Linked DNA regions of Astyanax mexicanus. The protein of the gene in region 1 interacts with the protein of each later gene in a biochemical or structural test. Links are inferred from orthologs where the notes say so. Each region holds a gene or a part of one and is shown in the gene's direction. Other genes may lie near its edges. The genes, in order: tdrd3 and top3b.

Region 1 (11,160 bases):
TCTCTGAGAAAATTACAGGCTGAATTACCTACTGTTTTTTGCTAAACTCTGTGGTCCTCCGGTAATTTTAGTCCCGTTCGGACTGACATCTCTGAGTTTCATCACCTCTCGTTTAATAAAGTAGCTATTTGTCCACTGCCACGCACCGTAATTATACTTTGGGCATGCATTTCCACAGAGATCCACGCAAACACAACAGCAAGTGGAAAGCCAATAAAAAAGTCACTGGTCCTCCTGTTTTTAAAATTGCAGTCTGCAATTTGCAAGAGTTTTATCACTGAGTAGAAGTGGGAAATATTTTTCACAGACGTCCTCTTGAGAAACTAATCCCGTCCGGATAGGGCTTAAATTGATCTGGTATGTATGTGTTAGATATGTATGTAAGATTGTGTGTGTGAATGTATAATAAAATAATGCTGTAGTGCCCGATGCAGTCCTCCAGGTGGACGGTTGTTTTCGGTTGAGAGTACGCTGTGGGCTATTGGCTGTGGCTTTGCACTGGTGTGTGGATGATGGTTTTGTGTAAAAACGTGATTGTAAAATCTCCTTGGGTTTCTAGATATGTGTAACTTCATTTGTTCATTAAAGTCTTGCTTTCTTCAGCAGACTAATTTTTGATTTTGCATTACTAAATATTTATGCAATTATAAATTACGTTGATTCAACGTTGAAACAGCTGGGTGTCATCTTAGCAAGAGTTGCCTACTTTGAAGAATCTAAAATATTAAACATATTTTGGTTAGTTTAATACTTTTTTTGTTAAATAAATATTTCCATACGTTTTTATTTATAGTTTTTCATGATTTCAGTATTAATCTAAAATGCAGAAAATTTTTACAGTGTTTAAAAAAACACTGAATTTTAGGTGTGACCAAACTTTTGACTGGAACGATGCAGGATCCTGCTGAAGGACACGCCCCCGTCAGGTGATCAGGATACTGTGCTGAATAAAGCAAGCAGCAGCAATGTAAGCAAAGCGGAGGGATCGGTCAGGTTAAGGATATTTACTGTACAAGTCCTGACCAGACCCCGGAGCTGCTGATCAGAACCTAAGACCACCACAGACTGAGTACCTGTATCAGCAGAATGCAGCAGCGCTGACCCACAGCAGCGTCCCTCAACCGCTGGATCTGCTGCAGCTCTGAGGAAGAGGAGGAAGAGAAGGAGGAGGTGAGTAAGAGCAGCAAAGGAGCTCCATTACTGTTATTATATCAGATCTCATCTACAGCCTGCCTTCACAGCAAACTAAACCTTTAATTCTCAATAACTCTGCTAATAAATCCAGCTCAAGACTGGCTTTTACTACTATATGGTTTTAGATGGTAAAAACTGTTCAAGCCTTTATGGTAAAGATGGTAAAATTGCTAATTCTGACAAAAAAAAAAACTCTATACCCCTTACCCTATCATTTGATGCTGGTTATGCTGAGAAAATGCTGGTCATGCTGGTTGACCAACTTTGTGATGACAGTCATGATTTTTTTTATCCGGTTTGATCATGCATATACAGTGCTGTGAAGTCCCCCCCTACAGTTTTCTTTGTTTTTTATTTTGTATCATACTTAAATTTTTTAGATAAACAAACACATTTTAACATCAGACAAATATAAATATAAAAAACAGTTGATAATGTTAATTTAATGTCTTGAGAGAAAAAGTATTTGCCCCTTAAAACTAATAACTTCGTTTTTACAAAAAAAAAATCCTGTTTAAGGCCTTTATTTTGTTTTTTTACCGAGGTGGACTTGCTGGTGTGTTTGGATCATTTAAGCTTAAAGATTCAAGATTAAAGATATTTTTCTGTCACATCACAGAGTAAAGGTGTGCATGTGAGTGAAAAACTTGGGTGCAGATTCCCACCAGTGTGCAGAGAACAATATTTACAAAAAGAAGAATAAAATAAAATATAATATAAAATCAGATATACAGATACCTTTACAGTATAAACAATATACAAAGTACACTCAATAACAATACACATAATAACTTACACTATAGACAAATATTGCACAGAAATATTTTAAGTAAGACTGAATAAGTAATATACGATGCTATGTAGATGTGTGTGGAAGTGAGGAAATAGTCCATAAGGTGACAGAATAACTATGAGTAAGTGCAGGTAAGGAATAAGTTGAGTAGGAAGTACAAGGGGCAGAATGCTGTATGCATTCTGCTGCATTGTCCTGCTGCAGAACCCAAGTACACCTGAGCTTAAAGCCACAAACTGATGGCAGGACATTTTCCTTCAGGATTTCTTCTTTTACCTGTATTTAATCAGGTTATATTTGTCTTCAGTTTGTATGTCTTAAGTATGACAAAAAAGCAAAAGAAATCTGTAATGGGGCAAATACCAGACTGTAGTTCTATTTCTCTGCATACTTTATCTCACATCAACCAAATGTATTTGTAACACTTTAGAAATGGACATCAATGAGTTAATGTATAAGGGAGGGTATGTTATTTCAAAACACAGCAGATAAAAGGTATAGGATGCATTAGAAGAGAAACCACTAAAAGGGTAAGATGCATTGAGTCTTCTCATATTCCGCCTCAGCCTCTGTTAGGAGGGGAATCTGCTGCTGTTCATTGATTGTGCTCATTTGCTGTTTTTCACTGCTTTAAACTGGACACTGTATATAGCTGTATAGCAGCAGTGTATCAAACATAGCTGAGCACTTGTCTTATTTATATCCACAGATCTGCATTCCAGCAAGATGGCATTCACCCTGAGCCTCCTCGCTGCTGTTCTCATGTCTTCTGTTGTGTCTGGAAGCAGCTCGACTCAAGACCCAGTTGTGGTCCATGACCCGACTGTAGCCAAAGTAGTCAGCTTTGCCATCGACTCCCACAATCGCATGTGTAACTGTGCCTCTGCCTTTAAAGTAGTGGACATCATGTCAGACAGTGCTGAGGTAAGTTATTTAAAAACTATTAAAGCTGTTGAAAAGGGTAGTAGATCCTTAGAAGAACCATTTGGTTCTGAACCTATTTTAAAGACGTTTTGAAAGTGAAGAACATTTGAAATTGGTTAGTGACCCTTACATGGTGACCCTTAACCTTTTAACTTAACTAGTTCTGTGTTCACAGTCAAAAATAACAACATTGTTATAAATTATTTTAAATAATTTTAAAACCATAATACTGCAAATATTATGACCTAGTGTAGATAACTATAGTGACTATAATAAAATATATTAATTTAATAAATGTATACATGTGTTATATATCACAGACTCGTTTGTGTCCAAGTTTAGTTAGAATTTTTTTTTTTTAATCCATTTTAATGGATTGATCACACATTCACACACTTTCCTTTGATGCCCTCCTGTTTTAATAGGTATGTGATTTATGGACTTATTTGGAAAAATTTGTTTTGACCTCTATTGTTGTATATTTTTCTTAGCTCTATCCTCCTACTTGGGTTAAATACACCCTCAAACTGCGAGTGGCCGAGACAAACTGCAGAAACGATGGAAAAGTGAGCCTGGAGGACTGCAGCCTCAAGACTAACGCACAGGCAAGAATCTTGTCCAAATAAATCACTATTCTCCTGTGTCTATATTTTTTTAATAAACTAAAATTTGTTAATTACTTCATGTATATCTCTTTTAACAGACTATGATCTGCAGCTTCGTGGTGCTGGCAGTTCCAGGAGAGAACACGGTGCCCAGCCGTCTTCTGTCAGACCACTGTGTCTGATTAAAAAGTTTGCAGTAATTTATTCTGAGTATCAGACATTAAAGCAGCAGTCAGTATGATTATTCTGTTTTAAATTACAAGCAGTAATATTTCTGAGGTAGGAGGGGACATAATATTCTATCTTCCAGTCATGACCATCCTTGCAGTGTCTAATATATTCATTCTAAACACAGAGTGGCCTGGTAGGTTTGTTGGATGTAATTGATGTAATCTCTACATTTTGGCAATATTTTATAAATGAATAAAATAAACAAAACAATGTATTTAAAAAATGCAGAATTTCACACAACAATTTATTTCTATTCATTTGCATTAAAAGTACTCTTCCCCATGCTTTGTGCAATTACAGTTTTTCACCAGAGAGGTCTTCAAATCCCCGAAACTTGTTTGATTGTCACTTTAAGTAGACCTTATGTCACATGTGTCAAACACAAGGCCCGCGGGCCAAATGTGGCCCGCCACGTCTTTTTATGTGGCCCGCGAGAGCTTGTAAAATCTTAGTGTCTATAATAAATAGGTCAGAAGCGTTCCTTGACCAAAAAATACATTTCCCACAATGCTTGTCGATTGTATTACCCGCAAAGTTACGGCTTACTGCCACTACACGGCAGTGTAGTCATTGATGTGGAAACCCTGCCGGAGGGAAGGTGTAACTTCGCGGGTGGAATTGAGACATGTTTATCCCATAATATCCAGAAAAAGAAAAGTTGATGCAGACGGACGGCTGTGCTTCAAGGCGAAAGACCGGTATGCATTTTGTGTTACTGACCAAAATAAACGCTTTTTAGAAGAGATATAAATTATGTGTAAATATTTATAAGACAATAGCTGATAAAATCTGTTTTAATGAGGTTAATAAACATCACTGTGACATCGCTAGTCGCAGTTTCACCTCAGCAAAGGACGAGGAGGTGAATCACTTATCTAACCAGCCTTTACTGATTTCTGCCCCAATAACCCTTTCAATAACCTCCAATAGCCTTTAATAGTCTCCAGTAGCCTTCAACAGTCTAACCTTGCAGCCGTGGTGTGTTCTAAACTCCGTAGTTATAAACATCCTGAGGTTAGCAGCGCGCTAACTGACCTGTTTATAATGTAATCCGAGCAGTGACTCCGGGATGGCTGCTCTAAACTGCTGCTGTTAGCTGCTTGGGCTGAAATATGAACTGTAGAGAGCTGTATTATCCGGTTAGTGGGGTTATTTTATTTCATACACAGAAGAACTTAAAATTTTAAAAACGCTCCAGACAGGCTCAGCTGAGCCCTGTAGCCCGTGGCCGGGCTGTAGCTCTGACTCAGTAAAGACTGTGGGCTTGTGCTGCTGCAGCTCCCACTAGTGGTTGGATGAGGAAATGCTAAATCTGTCACAGCTCACAATTTTTGATTTTATATTTATTAAGCCTCTTTTCAGTATCAAACGTTTTGATCAAAGTTAATATAACTTGTATTTTATGTCATTTCTATTCACTTGTATAGTTTCGTTCTTGATTGATGGAGTTTTTGGATTTCATAACAGGATTTATGTTAATAGAGCAACAAGCAAACATTTTTTCCATGCAACTGTAATATTTGATTGAATAAATAATATATTGAGAGTTATTTAACATTAAGGAGTAATTACATTCATTTACATATATTACATTTGGTTACATTTTCTTATATTTATAAGTTACATCTGGCCCTCGGAGGACAGCCAATATGCCAATGTGGCCCTCGGCCAAAATGAGTTTGACACCCCTGCCTTATGTTATGTTGGAAGTATTGGAATGTATTGTGGATATAATGTGTTTTTATTACTATTTAAGTATTTCATGTATTTAAAGTATTTCAAATGAGTCATTATAAAAAGCCTGAACTCTTTTTGTTGGCCAGCTGAAGACCATCATTGTTGCAAAATTGCAATAAACAAAAAACAGAAGAACCAGCTTTGTCTTTCTTTTTTTATGCTTTTAGCAGGTCAGCTCTACTTCTGTACAGCCGCTGAATTCTCTGATTTGCTAGACAACATTTCTCACAAATTCCAAATAAAAATATTGTCATTTAGAGCATTTATTTGCAGAAAATTAGCAACAGCTGAAATAACAAAAAAGATTATGAGCTTTAAGGCCTCAAATAATGCAAACATTTTTATAAATTTATATGTAACATATTCATAAAGTTTTAAGAGATCAGAAATCAATATTTGGTGGAAAACCCTTTTTTTCATCACAGTTTTCACGCATCTTGTGACATGTTCTCCTCCACCAGTCTTACACACTACTTTTGGATAACATAATGCCACTACCAGTGCAAACATTCAGGCAGTTCAGCTCGATTTTTCAATTAGATTAAATCAAAGAAACGTATTATTTTTAAGTGGTCTCTTATTTTTTTTTAGAGCTGTATATATAGTAACAGTCAAAAGACTGGACACACCCTCTACCTTCTCATTGTGTATTTATTTAGTACCACAGTTTGAGAGCAATAAAGAGTAACAAAATTCCAGCTTTTTGCCCAAAAAGAGGGCATATTGTGGTCATTATAATTTAGTACTGATGCAAATAATACTTCTAGTTAAATAAATCGATATAGATATTCATTAATAAGGGGGAATTGGTACCTGTATCGAAAAAATAAATCGACTTTTATCGACTAGCCCTAGGAGCGGGTCGCGGTTTTTGCTCGTAGCCGCTCTGAACTCTGACCTGTGACGCTGAGTAAGTTTGGGACTGGTCTGTTTTTAGCGGAGAGCCGAGCGGAGAGAAGCAGAGCGGAGAGAAAAGCATGGAAAAGCGGCTGCGGCTCAGATAATCACATGCTGCAGTCTAACCGCGCGCTGGAAGATGTCTGAGCTGAGCGCGGCTCTCGGGAGAGAAGGCTGGTGGGTAGCGGCTCGGGGCTAGCCTGCCTGCTGGGGCTGGCGGGATGCTAAGCTAATGCTAGCGGCGGAGCTTCGAATAGGGTACCTGAGCTAGGCTAGGCTAAAGCTAGCTAAGCTATGCTAGCTTTCAGAGTTTATCAGTGTTTTATTGCTGGTTGAGAAAAAACGGTTCATTAACGCCGTATTAATGTATTTACATCTATAGACCAGTAGATACCACCTGTTTAAACTCTGTAATTAGCGCTAATTATTTATATTATTCGCTTACTGAGCTCCTAATAAATGTTTAATTCAGCTAGCGTTAGCTGTGGAGTAGCTAAGCTAAGCTAACCTAGCTAAACAGCTAGTTAAGTATCACCACAGTGTTCAGCTTCTGCTGGCGGTTTATCTGTTTCAGACTCTGTAGTTCATATTTTATAATGATTCACAGTGTTTATTCACTATTCTGATATCTAAATAAATATCTAACTCATCTAACTACAAATAACTGCAGAATAGGTTTTAGCTACATTATCTAGTTAAATTTCAGGCTGATTTATGGTGATGCATTAATGCTGGGAAAGGTTGAGTCTAAATAAAAGCTTATAATTACAATTTAAAGTTGTATTTTTGTTTTTGTGGTGTATTGAAGTACAAAAAAAATAATATTTAAGGACAAAATCCTTTCCCACAGATTAGTTAATAGTTCATTTAGTTTTTATTTGTTTATGTATTTTACAGTATCGCCCAGCCCTATTTGAGCCATTTCATGAACATAAATTTTCTTATTTTTCCTTATTTAAAAATCTTTATTTCATTCTTGTTGAACTGAACCTGGCCTACCTGAACTTTCTGAACAGTACCCTACACTGTGTCATTCAGGCTGATGTGCATATTTTAAAGTGTGTGTTTGGAAATTCATTTTTTATGTGTTATTAGTTAAAGCAATTGTTGTCTTTTTGCATTTATTTAGGGATACAAACTTTTCCCACAGTTTCAATGAATTGTTCCTTCATTTAAAATGTATTTATGTATTCTTACAATATCGCCCTGGCCTATTTGAGCCATTTTGTGAACATAGATATTTTTGCCATCTTTAAAATCTTTTTTCAAAAATGTAAATCCTGTTAAAATGAACCTAAATGGCACCACCTGAACTTTCTGAACAGTATCCTACACTGACTCCAAGCTGATGAACGTATTTTAAAGAGTGTGTCTGATAATGTGTTTTTTGTATATCATTACAGCCACTCCTTTTAAGTGTGACCTGGGCTGTGATTTGTGTTAAAGTCAGAGCTATATTCATATTGGCTTTCATATCACACACTGCATAGATAGACATCTGACACGTCTGTTGTTTGTATGTAAGAGACACCAACATCCCTGTCATCCAAACTTTATCACCATCAAACTTATGAGTATCAGCAACTGGAACATTACAAAGGCTTACAACACAAAGGCTTACAACATTTACGAAAGCATGATAGCTATCCAGTCATAAAAATCTATTTACAGATACCAGTGCAGACATTAGTGCATGGTGCCTTTCCCCATGAAGAACTGGGGTACCGGTTTAACACAAGGAAATATTTCTAAATTAACCCAAAATGTCTGTTCTTCATGAATTGTTCATGAAGTATCTGCAAGTGTAAATAGATCTGTAATTAATGTGGCTCTTCATAATTTATATAAGGCACTTATCTAAAATGCAGTCCATCCACCTGCAACAGGCAAAGATTAAGTGATATCTCTTTTCTCTGTGTGCTATGCTAATACACAAAGTGTAGATTAGCACCGTATCAGTTTGTGCCATTAGAAAGTATGTGAGTTCTTCTGTCTAATTGTGCTTGCATGTTTAGTAATGGACCTAATCTAGGTCACAGTAAGTCCAGGGCATTCATTCAGTATTCATTTAGTTGGAAACTGGTTGAAATAATAAAAAAAAAATCTCTCTCTCTATATATATATATATATATATATATATATCTTAATTGTAAACTTGTTAACCTTCATTGAATCTGTCTTTAGCACTGTTGGCTTTATAAATGTTGGTCTTCTTCAACCATGTTAGGAGTTTATATATCATATCATATTTCATTTGCTCCCTCTTTAGGCCTCAGGGGATGTATTGGTCATTTCTGCAGCATCTCTTAAAAAAAATCTGTGTGTATGCAGGCGTAATATATTAAAAGTACAGCTTACATCACAATATATATATGATCAATATTTATTTTAATACATGTGAATACAGTCAATGCAGTCAATGACTGATCCTTAAAAACACTGTTCAGACAAGTTCTATATATTTTTTTTTTTTCCAAATATTTACTGCGATTCATCCAGTTAAACAGGATTAACTATGCTCTTTAATTAAATGCACAGTTGGGTCAGTGATTTGCACTGAGCTTATTGTTAATGTGGTAAGAAAATGTATCACAATACGATCAAATATTGTCAGATTACCCAACTCTGAGATATATAAATCCTAGAGATATTAATCCTTGTCTAGCAACACAGCATACATAAATATAATTTTGGTGAGTTGAATTTATGCGTTTTTATTTAGGTATCTCACAGAGGAAGGGATAGAAGAGTGCAAAAGCTCGGAGAAAGAGAAAGTGACCGTCACTGACATCATCAATGTAGCATTAAATGTAAGTAGGCCTGTTACAATAATTCCGTTATCAACTTAAATATTATATGGACATAGCCATAGAGCCCATTATCATGAATTAGTTGCTTTGTTGACTTTGTTTTTAAACAGTGTTTTTTTGTATTTTATTTAATAAGAATATTTAAGCATTTTTATTTTTGCTGTTTTTTATGTATTGTGTAATTGTATTATTATGGTATTATCATTATATTAGTAGCTTAAGACTGTTTATAGTAACATTGTTTATCCCACTAATTTCTGAAATATCATATTGTATGACAAGATATATTGTGACAAGTGTACCTGTACGGTTTGTTATGGAAATGTTTTTATATATTATGTAATTTCCAAAAACATACATTATGATTGTTTTCTGCAGAGCGATCTGAGGCCTATTGGAAAGAGCTTTCTGCCTGCTGACATCAACAGTGGCAGAGTAGAGAAGGTAATTTCACAGGCACTTTCACATGTTGGCCACTGGATGACTCTATAAGCACACTCTTAGGGAAGGATAAAGTCAAGCACTAAAAGAGACTGGGTGATTTGTGTAAGCCTCTATTTTTCCTCCCTGTTTGATTGTGTAAAATTACAGGAAATAAATGTCTTTAATTGAAACCTGTTTAACTTCTTTTTCTAGTTTTAGAAACAAACTGTAAACACAGCTGAAATGTCTGAATTGTTCAGTCACAAAAACAGCATTATTCCTGTGTAGGACAATTGTAGTAACTATAATGATTTTTTTCTCCACAGTTGGAGGGGCCATGTGTCCTTCAAATCCAGAGGATTCGAAATGTTTCCGCCCCAAAAGAAAATGAAGACTCACAGGCTGCACCTCGAATGCTCCGCCTCCAGATGACTGATGGGCAGACCATGTGCACAGGGCTTGAATTTAAACATCTGTCAAAAATCAGGTAAAACCATTCTGAGATAATCCCAGAGATAATCCGTTTCAGCAAATCCTGGATATCTGATAGTTGTGTCTTACACTTACTTTGACCTTTTGAAAGTTGTGATTGTGTGTATCTGTGTCTGTGGTTGAAGGGCTGGATAAATGGTATATATAGATCTTTATCGTAACACAATATTTAAAGCCATTTCACACTATACAATATTTATTTACATATATGTGGTTGCAGTAAAATGCATTAGTAGTGATACATCTTTTAAAACACTATTCTAATGTATTTACCATTAATTTTACTCAAAATATACCACCATCCATCCAGTTGAACTGGACTTATGTTCTCAATAATGAAAGTAACAAAGTGTACTGTAAGTCCTGATATCCTCAAAATGTATATACTCAAAAGTATATAGTTATATAGGTATATATAGTTGATACACTTCTGAATTTTAGCATGATATAATGAAATATCTTCATATTGCCACCTCTTGAAAATTTTAATAATATATACTTAGTAAAACACTAATCAGAATAACACAAATACCATTCATACAAAATTTGTGATTTTTTATATGTGTTCAATAAAACATTTCCAAAGTTCTGCTCATGGACGTCAAGTATTATTACTAAATATCATCATGTCAGCAGCACCTGGTTTGTTTAATCAGTGTTTATTGATGTTAAATCGGGTGCACTGGTGATGGAATTGAACACATCTATTCAGACACTGGCTGTACATACAGGAAATCTTAAAATGTGTATGCTTTGTTTTTCAGACTAATGCACAAGAACTACTTTCTTCTTTGTTTCTTGTTTAAATAATATGCTTAGATGCCTAAAGCCTCTATTTTAGAAGTATGTATGTACATATGTATGTCTGTGCACACACACTTAGGAACTATATTAATACTGGCTACAATTCCAAATGGTGCTGACCACCCACATTCTCTATCTTGTATCTAATTAGTGTGGTTCTGAGCATTATCGTAATTAATCATGCATGAAATTAAAAATCAACCAGTTCTTTTAAGATCATGTACGAACGTCTTGTCAGTTAAACATCTTC
Region 2 (10,554 bases), on another chromosome or scaffold:
TAGATAGAGCAGTAGGAAAAGAGTAGTGAAAAAATGAGAGAAAGTAAAAAAATTAAAAGAAAAAGCAAAAGAGGGTGAACAGAGATATGGTGTGTGAAAGAAAGAGAGCATGAGAGAGCATTAAAGAGAGCATGAAAGATAGAAAGAGGACAGATGAAGATAAAGAGAGAGATGTGGAGATAAAAGAGAAACAAACACTGAGAAAGACAGACAAAATAAAAAAAGGAGAACACTGAGAAATAGAGAAAAAGCAGCTGATGAAAAATATGAATGAAAGAAAGAAATAGATAGTGTGGAAAGAGTGAGATATAAGAAAAGGAAGGATAATGCAGAGGGAAATGAAAAGAAGGAGAGAGAGAGAGAGAAAAGGAGAGGGAGAGAGAGAGAGAGAGAGAGAGAGAGGTAGTTCTGTTGCCTCCGTCTGTCGTCGTTTGGATACCTCTGACAAAGCATATTTTCCGCTACACAGGTCCTATTATTCTCACACACACACACACACACACAGTCATGTGACAGCTGGGTATTGCTTTGATTTCTAATTGTGTAATTCTGTTATTTATCTATTTTTCAGATCCTCTCTTTTTCGTTTCCACACACTCATCCCTGTTCATTTCAGAGCACTGAGCCCACCTGTGCTGAGGATGCTCTCGCACTGTCTCTGTGGTGTGTGAGGTGTGTATGAGTTGCGCATCAGCGTGGAATACTGATGAACCGCAGGCCATAGATCAGTCACTTACACTAACCATGACTCACCTCCACCTCCACCACCGTGCTCTTTCTCTCTCTTTCTTTCTCCTTCTCTTTCTCACTGCTTTAAATTGGTAGAGAAGCTTAACACATTAACATTTTACAAGGTTTAAATGTTCTTCTTTACTATATTATTTTATTTTAAAAGTGTAGCAGTCAAGCAGTTTGTTGGTTCAGCAAGGTCAGTATAATGCTTTGTCTTGCCATATAAGGCAGAATTCGAAAATAATAAAAGAAAAGTGTAAATTGTTTTATTATTTTCATTATTTTATTTTTATTTAGCAAAAATCTTTAAAAAAAAAATCTTATCCATATTTTAAGACTTCTAGTTTTTATTTCTGTCTTTCACAGTCTGAACTTCAATTAACGTAAATAACTATAAGACGATTTTCTTATTGGCTTGTCCTTTACTGTGTTTTCAGAATGATAATACTTTTACATCAAATACTATATATCTCAGACAAAAACAATCAATATTTTACTAATTTAAACATTGAAACAATTAAGATGAATCCTTACTATTATTCAAATTCAAATTTCATTATGTAACAATGAAAGCACCTGTACTGCTTTGCTGTAGCTTACACATGCTGAATGTATTTAAAAGCTTCAGTGCAGTTCTTTACAGTATTTAGAAGGGCTGGACAACTCATACAGCTCTGTAAAAATTTAAGAGACCACTTAAAAATGATGAGTTTCTTTGATTTTACCAAATTAAAATCCTCTGGAATATAATAAAGATCAAGATGGATGATCACAAGCCATCAAACCAAGCTGGACCGCTTGAATTTTTGCACCAGGAGTGAAGGCATAAAGTTATCCAAAAGCAGTGTGTAAGACTGGTGGAGGAGAACATGATGCCAAGATGCACGAAAACTGTGATTAAAACCAGTGTTATTCCATTAAATATTGATTTCTGTACTCTTAAAACTTGTTTTCTTTGCATTATTTAAGGACTGAAAGCTCTGCATCTTTTTGTTATTTCAACCATTTCCCATTTTCTGTAAATAAATGCTCTAAACGACTTTTTTATTTGAAATTTGGGAGAAATGTTGTACATAGTTAATAGAATAAAACCACAATGGTAATTTTACTCAAACATATGACTATAAAAACTAAATCAGAGAAACTGATTCAGAAACTGAAGTGGTCTCTTAGTTATTTCCAGAGCTATATATAATTTCAGCAGTAATTTTGCAATGTGTGCATGCACAGTAGAGCAGGATGTCCAATGACATTCAAACAAATTATATCATACTCATTATGCTGAAAATTTACTACTTTTCATGATACATGTAAATTAGAGGCAGAATATACAGTATCTGCCTGATATAATTTATGTTACTAATCTTTAATATACAGAGTGCATTTTTATCATTTCATGTTGGATCAGGAGAATCTGATATAAATTTCTGTATTTTCAAAATAGTATAATTTTTTTAGTGTACCAGTCAACAGTTTGGACACACCTCTTTTCATTCAATGCGTTTTCTTACTTTTTATGATTTTTTTACTTTGTAAATTTAATACTGAAGACTACATATTTATTTATATTTATCTTTGAGTTCAGATCTGCGCACCCTTGGTATTTTAATCTCAGTTTCTTCATGAGGGAGAATCACCTGGAATAGTTTTCTCAGCACCTTGAAGGAAGGAGTTCCTGGAGGTGCTGAACAATAGTTGCTGCTTTTCCTTCACGCTGTGAAGCTCCAGCTCATCTCAACTCAATCACCTCAAATCACCATCGCTGATCATCAGGTTTAGATCAGGGGATTAATGTGGAGTAATAACACCTTTTTATTGTTTACTACATAATTCTATATGTGTCCCTTAATTGTTTTCATGTCTTTAATATTAATCTACAATGTGAGAAATAAATAAAAAGCAAGAAAACACATTGAACGAGAGAAGAGGTGTCCACGGTTTTGACTGGTACTGTAGTTACAGCTCTAGAAAAAAAATAAGATACCACTTCAGTTTTTGAATCAGTTTCTCCCATTTAACTGTTCATATTTATATGTTTAAGTATAATGATCATTGTTGTTTTATTCTATAAACTGCAGACAACATTTCCCCCAAATTCCAAATAAAAAATAGTCATTTAGAGCATTTATTTGCAGAAAATGAGAAATGGTCAAATTAACAAAAAAAGATGCAGAGCTTTCAGACCTCAAATAATGCAAAGAAAACAAGTTCATATTCATAAAGTTTTAAGAGTTCAGAAATCAATATTTGGTGGATTAACCCTTGTTTTTAATCACAGTTTTCATGCATCTTGGCATGTTCTCCTCCACCAGTCTTACACACTGCTTTTGGATAACTTTTGCCTTTACTCCTGGTGCAAAAATTCAAGCAGTTCAGCTTGGTTAGAGGACTGTGATCATCCATCTTCCTCTTAATTATATTCCAGAGATTTTTAATTTGGTAAAATCAAAGAAACCCCTCTTTTTTTTTTTTTTTTTTTTGCAGAGCTGTATATTTCAAATTTCCAATTTTGTGCATCACTAATATTTAATTAGGTATTTATTGTAGATACTATTTTTTCCCTGTATTGTGTTTCCTGTTTCTAAAAAACTATATAACTAATTTATATTTCTTCTACTTGAGTCATTTCATTTTCTGATATACAGGCCTACTTTATGAGCCTTTTATTAGCTAAAATACAGAACACAAAAATAATTAATTACTGAATATCTGGAAATAACTTAAGATTATTGACTGAAGTGCATTTAAAAGCAGTAAAAAGGTAAGTATGCCTAAATCAGATAACACTAAAAGTTAACAAATTAAACTACTAGCTGGAACCTCATTAGCAATTTAAGCTAAATTAGGCTAACGATACAACCACGGATTTCACGAGTTTTATAAGTTTGTGCAGATATGTTTAGTTTTAAACTGTTTTACCTGTCGTATAGGTAATAATAGAAACTTAAATTCAATATTAAAATAGATAAATTCAGTGTAATTTAGCAATTTACTTGTTTTATCTAAAAATAACAGTTAACGTTAGCTGACTAGCTAGCTAACCTAGAGAGTATAGTTACTGTTTGTTTAGCTAAGTATCTCAGATTAGCCTTTTACCAACGCCATTTACCAAGTTAAAAGCCACCTTAAGCCACACAGAGCGGCAGGAAAATTAGTGTAAGGTGTTTAAGGTAAAATAAGTGTGTTAAATTGAATTAAATATGTAGTTTATGTGTTTTTTATGTGTTGTGTTTTGCTGTGGTACCCGTGGTTTGCCGACACTCCGCTGTTCAGGTTTCTGAGAGGATATGCAGTCAGCGCTGAGACCGGTACCGTGCTGCCACCTATCGGCGGCAACCCGCCACCGCCACTCTCCGTATAAAGCGGTTTGATTGGCCCCTGATGAGCCTTTATAAATAATAATATAATATTAAAATATTTTACAAAATATCATTGCATGGATAATTCTCAAAAAACTTTGCGACCATTACAATGGACATTACATATTTTAAAGATGTTTTGTTGCACACAACACTAATTGAGACATATTGTTCATCCGTATAGACCATCAACCAGCCAATAAAAAAAGTTTATAAGACAATTAAACAGTAGCCAACTGCACAAAAGAAACACGCAGACATTATGGCATGACAGCTCTGTCTTTGATTATTTTATGTGATTTATAGCTCTTTTTATTTAGGATTAGGGATGGTTTTTAAAATAAACGGTTTATCATTTTCACATATCAAATAAAATGTTAAGCACAGGACTCCAGTGCAAAAGGCATTAAAAAAGCAATAAAATATTTAGTTAATTGGGTTTAATATTTAAATACAGTTTATTTGAGGATATTAGAGACTTCTTTTGGGTTTATCACAGGCAAAAAATAGCATACTTACATTTTTCCATCACTTAATCATAATTCAAGTCTGAAAGGGTTTAACCTTTTAAAACTTTATTATTATTATTATTATTATTATTATTATAGTTTTGCAAATACATACACAACCTGAAGAGAAATAGGAATGATAAAATAATAAACAATTTAATTGTTTTTTGTAAATTAGTCATTTGTACATACTCATTCTACCAATACATTAATTATTATTATTATTATTATTATTATTATTATTATAAAAAAATGGAAAAAAAAATAGTTCAACAAATAATGTAATTATATACATTTTTAAAACATTTGTCCTTACATATTCACAATGAAAGAAAAAAAAATCCATTCCCATCCTTCAGTCTCTTCAGTGGTCTACATTCATACATACTACTCCTACTACTACTATTAAAAACAAAAAAAATGTAATGTGTAATTTAAACAACTCACTAAAACTTTTATTTTGTTACGCCGTAACCCGGATGTTGAAAGTCTTGCTCTGGGCGTCACTAGGCTGCAGTTTGGCTCTTTGTAGAGAATGTTTATTATATTAATATAGTTTATTATTTTTGGGAGAAAGCAGCTGGTTGTGTTCAATTAACAATAATTATATAATTACGCGGGAAAAGCAGCAGCAGCAGCGCAGAGATGAGGACGGTACTGATGGTGGCTGAGAAGCCCTCCCTGGCTCAGTCAATAGCCAAGATCCTTTCTAAAGGTAAAGAAATATAACATAGAGCTATCGCAGTTATTATAGATAGGTTAGATAACGTTAATTATTCAGTATTTTACTCACAGGAAGGGTTTTCTACAGCGGGAAGACACCAGAATCTTCCAGAAAGCGGACTAAGCTTTGTTTGAACATGGTTTAACAGATTTATTTAAAGTTATTTAACTAGCTAGTATTCCTAGTTTTTAACTAAGTTAGCTTGCCAGCTATAACTTCTCTAGTTAGCTAGCTAACTTAACGTTACCCTCTTTTCTAAATACGTTTTACTAAATTATACATTTACGGGCAATATTATATAATGTACAATATATTGTGATACAAAAATATCGTGATATTCTGTGTCTTAAAAGTAGTCTATTATTTACTGTGAAGCTTTAGGTGTAACGTTATTTATTGTATAATTGTTTTAGTTTGCAGTTTATATGCATGCACTAAATGTTCTGCAATATTATTTGCTGAATTATATTATTTTATGCTATATTATTTATTTTACCACATTATGATTATTCTGTTATACTCTTATATACTATATTCCTGAAATGAATTAATTATTTTTCTGTTTTCCTATATCTCCAAGTATATCGTTATCGCAAAAATACCCTGAAATATCGTGATATTATTTTAGAGCCATATCGCCCACCCCTAACGGGCAATATAGTTTATTTATGTTTTTTTTTCCTCATCTTATCAATGACCTAATTACTGCTCTTTACCTGTCAGACCTCTAATTCAACTTAGTCCAGTCATGTTAATCAGAGCTAAAGTCTAAAGCTGTTTCCATGTGGGTCAGCCAGACGTCTCCCTGAGTTTTTTGAAGGTGTAGAAAACAGTACTTACCGCTCTCTGGCTTCATCTGTAATTTCTCTAAAGAAAAAATTAACCAGTTGTTTGCTAAAATAACCTCCTCTTTTTAAAAAAATATATCATTTTTACAATACTCATTTTTTTAGTTAATTTGATTTACACATTTTTTTAGCATTGTTTGACATTTAAAAGTTAATAGCTCTTTTTACATTGTCATGCTATTATTTTTATTTAATTTATCACAATTATCTCTTGAACAATATATTGTCAAGACAAAAAGTTAATCTGACAGGCTTATGTAGTTCTAGTAGTATAAACATTTCTTTATAGATTCTTGATAGTTATGGGAAAAAAAGTACAAAAAAAATAAATAAATCTTATTAAGAATTTGTAATAAACTCTTTATTCATTAATATTTTCAAGCTTTCTGCAGGGTATCACTGAACTGACACAAGCATTCCGGATGGTGTTGATTGTGAAAATAAATAGGTAGATCTGAAACAGCTGGTTGTTGGTGCAGGGAACATGAACAGCAACAGAAATGTCTAATAGTAACTATAAATAATAAATAATTATAATAAGTAATAATAAGCTAACAGGCAGTTTTTATTAGGCTAGTTTTTTCTGGATGTGGCACATATACAGGCAACGGTAATTGACTCAAACTCAATGGAGTAGAACGGGCATCCTGTGTGCTTCCGGAGAACAGGCATTCTAAAAGACAGGGGGACGCTCTCCACGCTGGACGTGCTGTCCACCCCGTTACAGGAGTGAGTTGTGAGGCATCGAGCTTCATAGATGACCTGAGGCACCCGGTTCACGTCTGTATTCACTTCCCTATAAATCAAAAACACAAAACAGTAGAAGCAGTCAGAGTGTTTTATACTGCATTATACTGTATGTCCAATAGTTTGTGGACACTCCTTCTAGTGAATGCATTCAGCTCTATGGTGGATCTTGGATTTTTCTGGGGCCACAATATTTATAGAGGGGCCAAGTATTATTTCATCAGTCACATCATGTTCAAACACTTATTTTAAAAAATCTATGGAGTTAATTTTGTGCCAAAAGATTTACATAAAAAAATAAATTAAAAAGTGTATTCTGCAAATTCAAAACATAAAAATATATTTCTAAATATAATTGGTTACTTTATTAGTCTTTGCAGTCATTTGAAAGTTATTTGTGTTTGAATTTTGACAGTTTTTGCTTTTATTTTTGTGTTTTTGTGGAATTTGCAGATAATGTCTTCTGCTTCATTTTTTGCTCATATATATATATATATATATATATACATATATATATATATATATGTATATATATATATATATATAATCTACTATTTTAATTTTAAAATATTTTTGAGTAAAACATTCAGCACAAAATTAGCTCCATAAAATTTGCTTCCCAATTTTACAGAATATTTTTCTGTGCATAAAACAAATGAGTGACAGGACAGGGACCACTATAGGGGACCAATCACCTCTAGTGATTCAGCTACTTTAAGATGCGCAAATTGCTCACACAGACATACACTTTTGAGATGCTGACGATAGAATAGAATCTCTAGAGCAGATAAACATGAACCATGAGCCAGGCGTTGGCTAGAGTGTGTAATGCCTACAGCATTGATCTGTGAAGCAGTGGAACTGTGTTCGAGTGGGTGAAACTGGAGGGAAAGTGCACTAGTGTTGCACTGCTCACTATTTACTATATTCTGTGCATCCCTACTCTAAAAGTGGTTGTACAAGCTACTGTATCTATAATTATGTTACAGAATTTATTAACCAGTATGTTTTAGGGATAAGATTAAAAATGCATAGCTAGCAGCTAATAAAGTCAGACTGTAATTCTAATACTCACACATATTCCCATGCAGCCAGGCTGCGCTCATTGAGTCTGTTGGGCTGGTAGGTAACTTCAGCATCGTATTTCTCCAGACTGTTCAGATTGACGATACTGATGGAGGAGAAGCCCGGCTGCATTGCACACTGTTCCCCGATGGGACTGCACTGACTCGGGTTTAACACCAGAAGAGTCAGGGTGAGAAAACCCAGGAGCTGAGAGAGAGAGAAAGAGAGAGAGAAAGAGAGAGAGAGAGAGAGAGAGAGAGAGAGACAAAAAAAGAAACACTGTGAGGTTGCAGATAACAATAATTCCTAGATTTCATAATCATAAAATTATATATCATTCTGTTGGTATTCATTTTTTGGCTAACATTTAGCCTGAGATAGGTGTTCAATCATTAACGTTACCTTAGCTTTAACCTTATAGGCACAGCTTTTGATAATAATATCACATCAAGTTCTTTAAGTGATGCCATAAAAACACCAAAATTAAAATTGAACAAAATGCAACATTTGACTTTCATTATATTTGTCAGTTTTTCCACAATGTTCTAAAACAGCCTAAAACTGAACTGCCTAAATGTGTCAGCATTGCCGAGTAGCATCACATGGCGTTCAGAGGAAAGCGCATTGACTTGGTTCTGATACATCAGCTCACAGATGCAGCCTTGTGCTAAACAACATCACCCTTTGAAGTGATGAGGGGAAAGAGCACCAACTACTGTACACACCAAGAGAGAGCAAAGCCAGTTGTGCTCTCTCAGGGCACAACACAAGACTATGGCAAGCTACATGAACTGGATTTAAACCAGCGATCTCCTGATCATAGTGGCAGGCTATTTTATTATATATTTATCCCAGCAGTACAATTTAGTCACAAGTTTACCTCAGTAGAAATTGATCTCTGTGCTACTCAAGTCAGATTTCTATGACATCTAAAGCCAATTTACTCAGCTATGATTACTACCCTAACATACAGTTTGTATAGAGGTAGTTACTTGTGCAAACTGAAATTGATGAAATTTGAAGCCTAATATGTGATGCTGAGAACTCCTTTTTGTCTCCATTCATGTGAGTACAGTATAAAAATGAACTTAAAGCAGCAGTTTTTTTTTGGCTCTCTCTGTCTGCTCTCTCCCACACTCCTGCATTGTATGTCACAGCACTCTGACAAGCAGTAGTAGCGCAGAGAGAGGTCTGCGGGGACCTTGTGCTGGAGTAAAAAAAAAAAAAAAAAAGTTTGAAGGGTCTAAAGCACCTTGAAAGTTCAATTTAAATCTAAACTATCCTGCATACCAAATTGTATTTATGTATTTATAACACTTTCTCTTAATTAAGTTCTCATAACTAATTTTAGATGTCTACATATTTTTAATCATAATCTGTAACCCCATCTTCTGGACCAGAGGTGTCAGTGTCCCGTCCTGGAGAATACAGCAGTTTGAAGTTTAACCCTAAGTTAAATTTAGTGCATATAAAGATCATAAAAAAAACACTAATTTCCATTACCTCAGTACCTCAGGCACCCAGAGGGAGCACTCTGCGAAAGACTGACCTGTAGCTGTTGCATACTGTTGGGTAGTGTAGCTGCAGATAGCGGTGGAGCAGGTAATGAGCAGGCAGGAGGGCAGCTGGTGGATGAAGCTGGTGAGGTGTCCTCCTCCTTCTCCTGAGCCTGTATTTATTCACCTGAGCTGAAGAGTGGGGGCATATGGCGTCGCTCTGTTACCCCAGTACCAATACGTCATGTCACAGCCCCCCACCCCTCGCAATTATCCCTCATGTGCAAATGAAAGCACGACCTTGGGTGACATGGCCGTCACTAGTCAACCAGCAACCACCAGCCATCGTCATTCACCTCTTGAGTTTAGAGTAGAGGAAGGGAGTAAGTGAGGGAGGTGGGGATGGATAAAATGTGAATGGATGGGAAGGATGCATAAGCAGATTCCTAATCGTCCTCCTGCTGCACTTTCACTTATTCACCCCTTCATTTACTTCTCTACTGTCTCTCTGCTGTGTGATGAGATGTTTCGTGCCTTGGTGCTCCATGGCCATTAGTAGGGTTTAGTGCAGTAGTTATTATGACCGTGTGTAACACATTACATTATCGACTTACGGTACACTACTTGGACATTACTTAAAAATGGTACAAATGCTTTGTTATGCTTTGTTATGGCATTTAACATTTTCAAAAGTGACTAACACTTTTTTTTTTTTTTGATTACTGTGTCAATTAAACTGAACCGATGGTTATGGTCCTTCCTATTCATATGTATTTCAGTGTTAATACCACTGACAATGGTGGTGCTTAGTAGGGGTGGGCGATATGGCTCTAAAATAATATCACGATATTTCAGGGTATTTTTGCGATAACGATATACTTGGCGATATAGGAAAACTAAAATAATTCATTAATTTCAGGAATATAGTATAAGAGTATAACAGCATAATCATAATGTGGCAAAATAAATAATATAGCATAAAATAATATAATGCAGCAAAAAATATTGCAAAATATTTAGTGCATGCATATCGTCACTGTCCAATGAAAAACACTGATCTCCAAAACAGAAAAA

The links.
Region 2: the proteins of tdrd3 (region 1) and top3b form a complex in vitro, tested with the Homo sapiens proteins (2 studies listed by BioGRID and IntAct, with this or other methods). The link is inferred for Astyanax mexicanus from reciprocal best matches to the Homo sapiens genes TDRD3 and TOP3B.

What each region holds. Positions count from the first base shown.
Region 1 is NC_064423.1:31,789,846-31,801,005, reverse strand, and holds the start of tdrd3 (tudor domain-containing protein 3), read left to right. Parts: upstream 1-6,371; 5' UTR 6,372-6,520; coding exon 6,521-6,558; intron 6,559-9,103; coding exon 9,104-9,191; intron 9,192-9,569; coding exon 9,570-9,635; intron 9,636-9,940; coding exon 9,941-10,101; intron 10,102-11,160. Other genes in the region: uncharacterized protein zgc:194981, read left to right, coding at 2,714-2,911, 3,403-3,516, 3,615-3,698. UniProt on the Homo sapiens protein: Scaffolding protein that specifically recognizes and binds dimethylarginine-containing proteins. Plays a role in the regulation of translation of target mRNAs by binding Arg/Gly-rich motifs (GAR) in dimethylarginine-containing proteins.
Region 2 is NC_064429.1:30,941,368-30,951,921, forward strand, and holds the start of top3b (DNA topoisomerase 3-beta-1), read left to right. Parts: upstream 1-5,070; 5' UTR 5,071-5,245; coding exon 5,246-5,315; intron 5,316-10,554. UniProt on the Homo sapiens protein: Releases the supercoiling and torsional tension of DNA introduced during the DNA replication and transcription by transiently cleaving and rejoining one strand of the DNA duplex.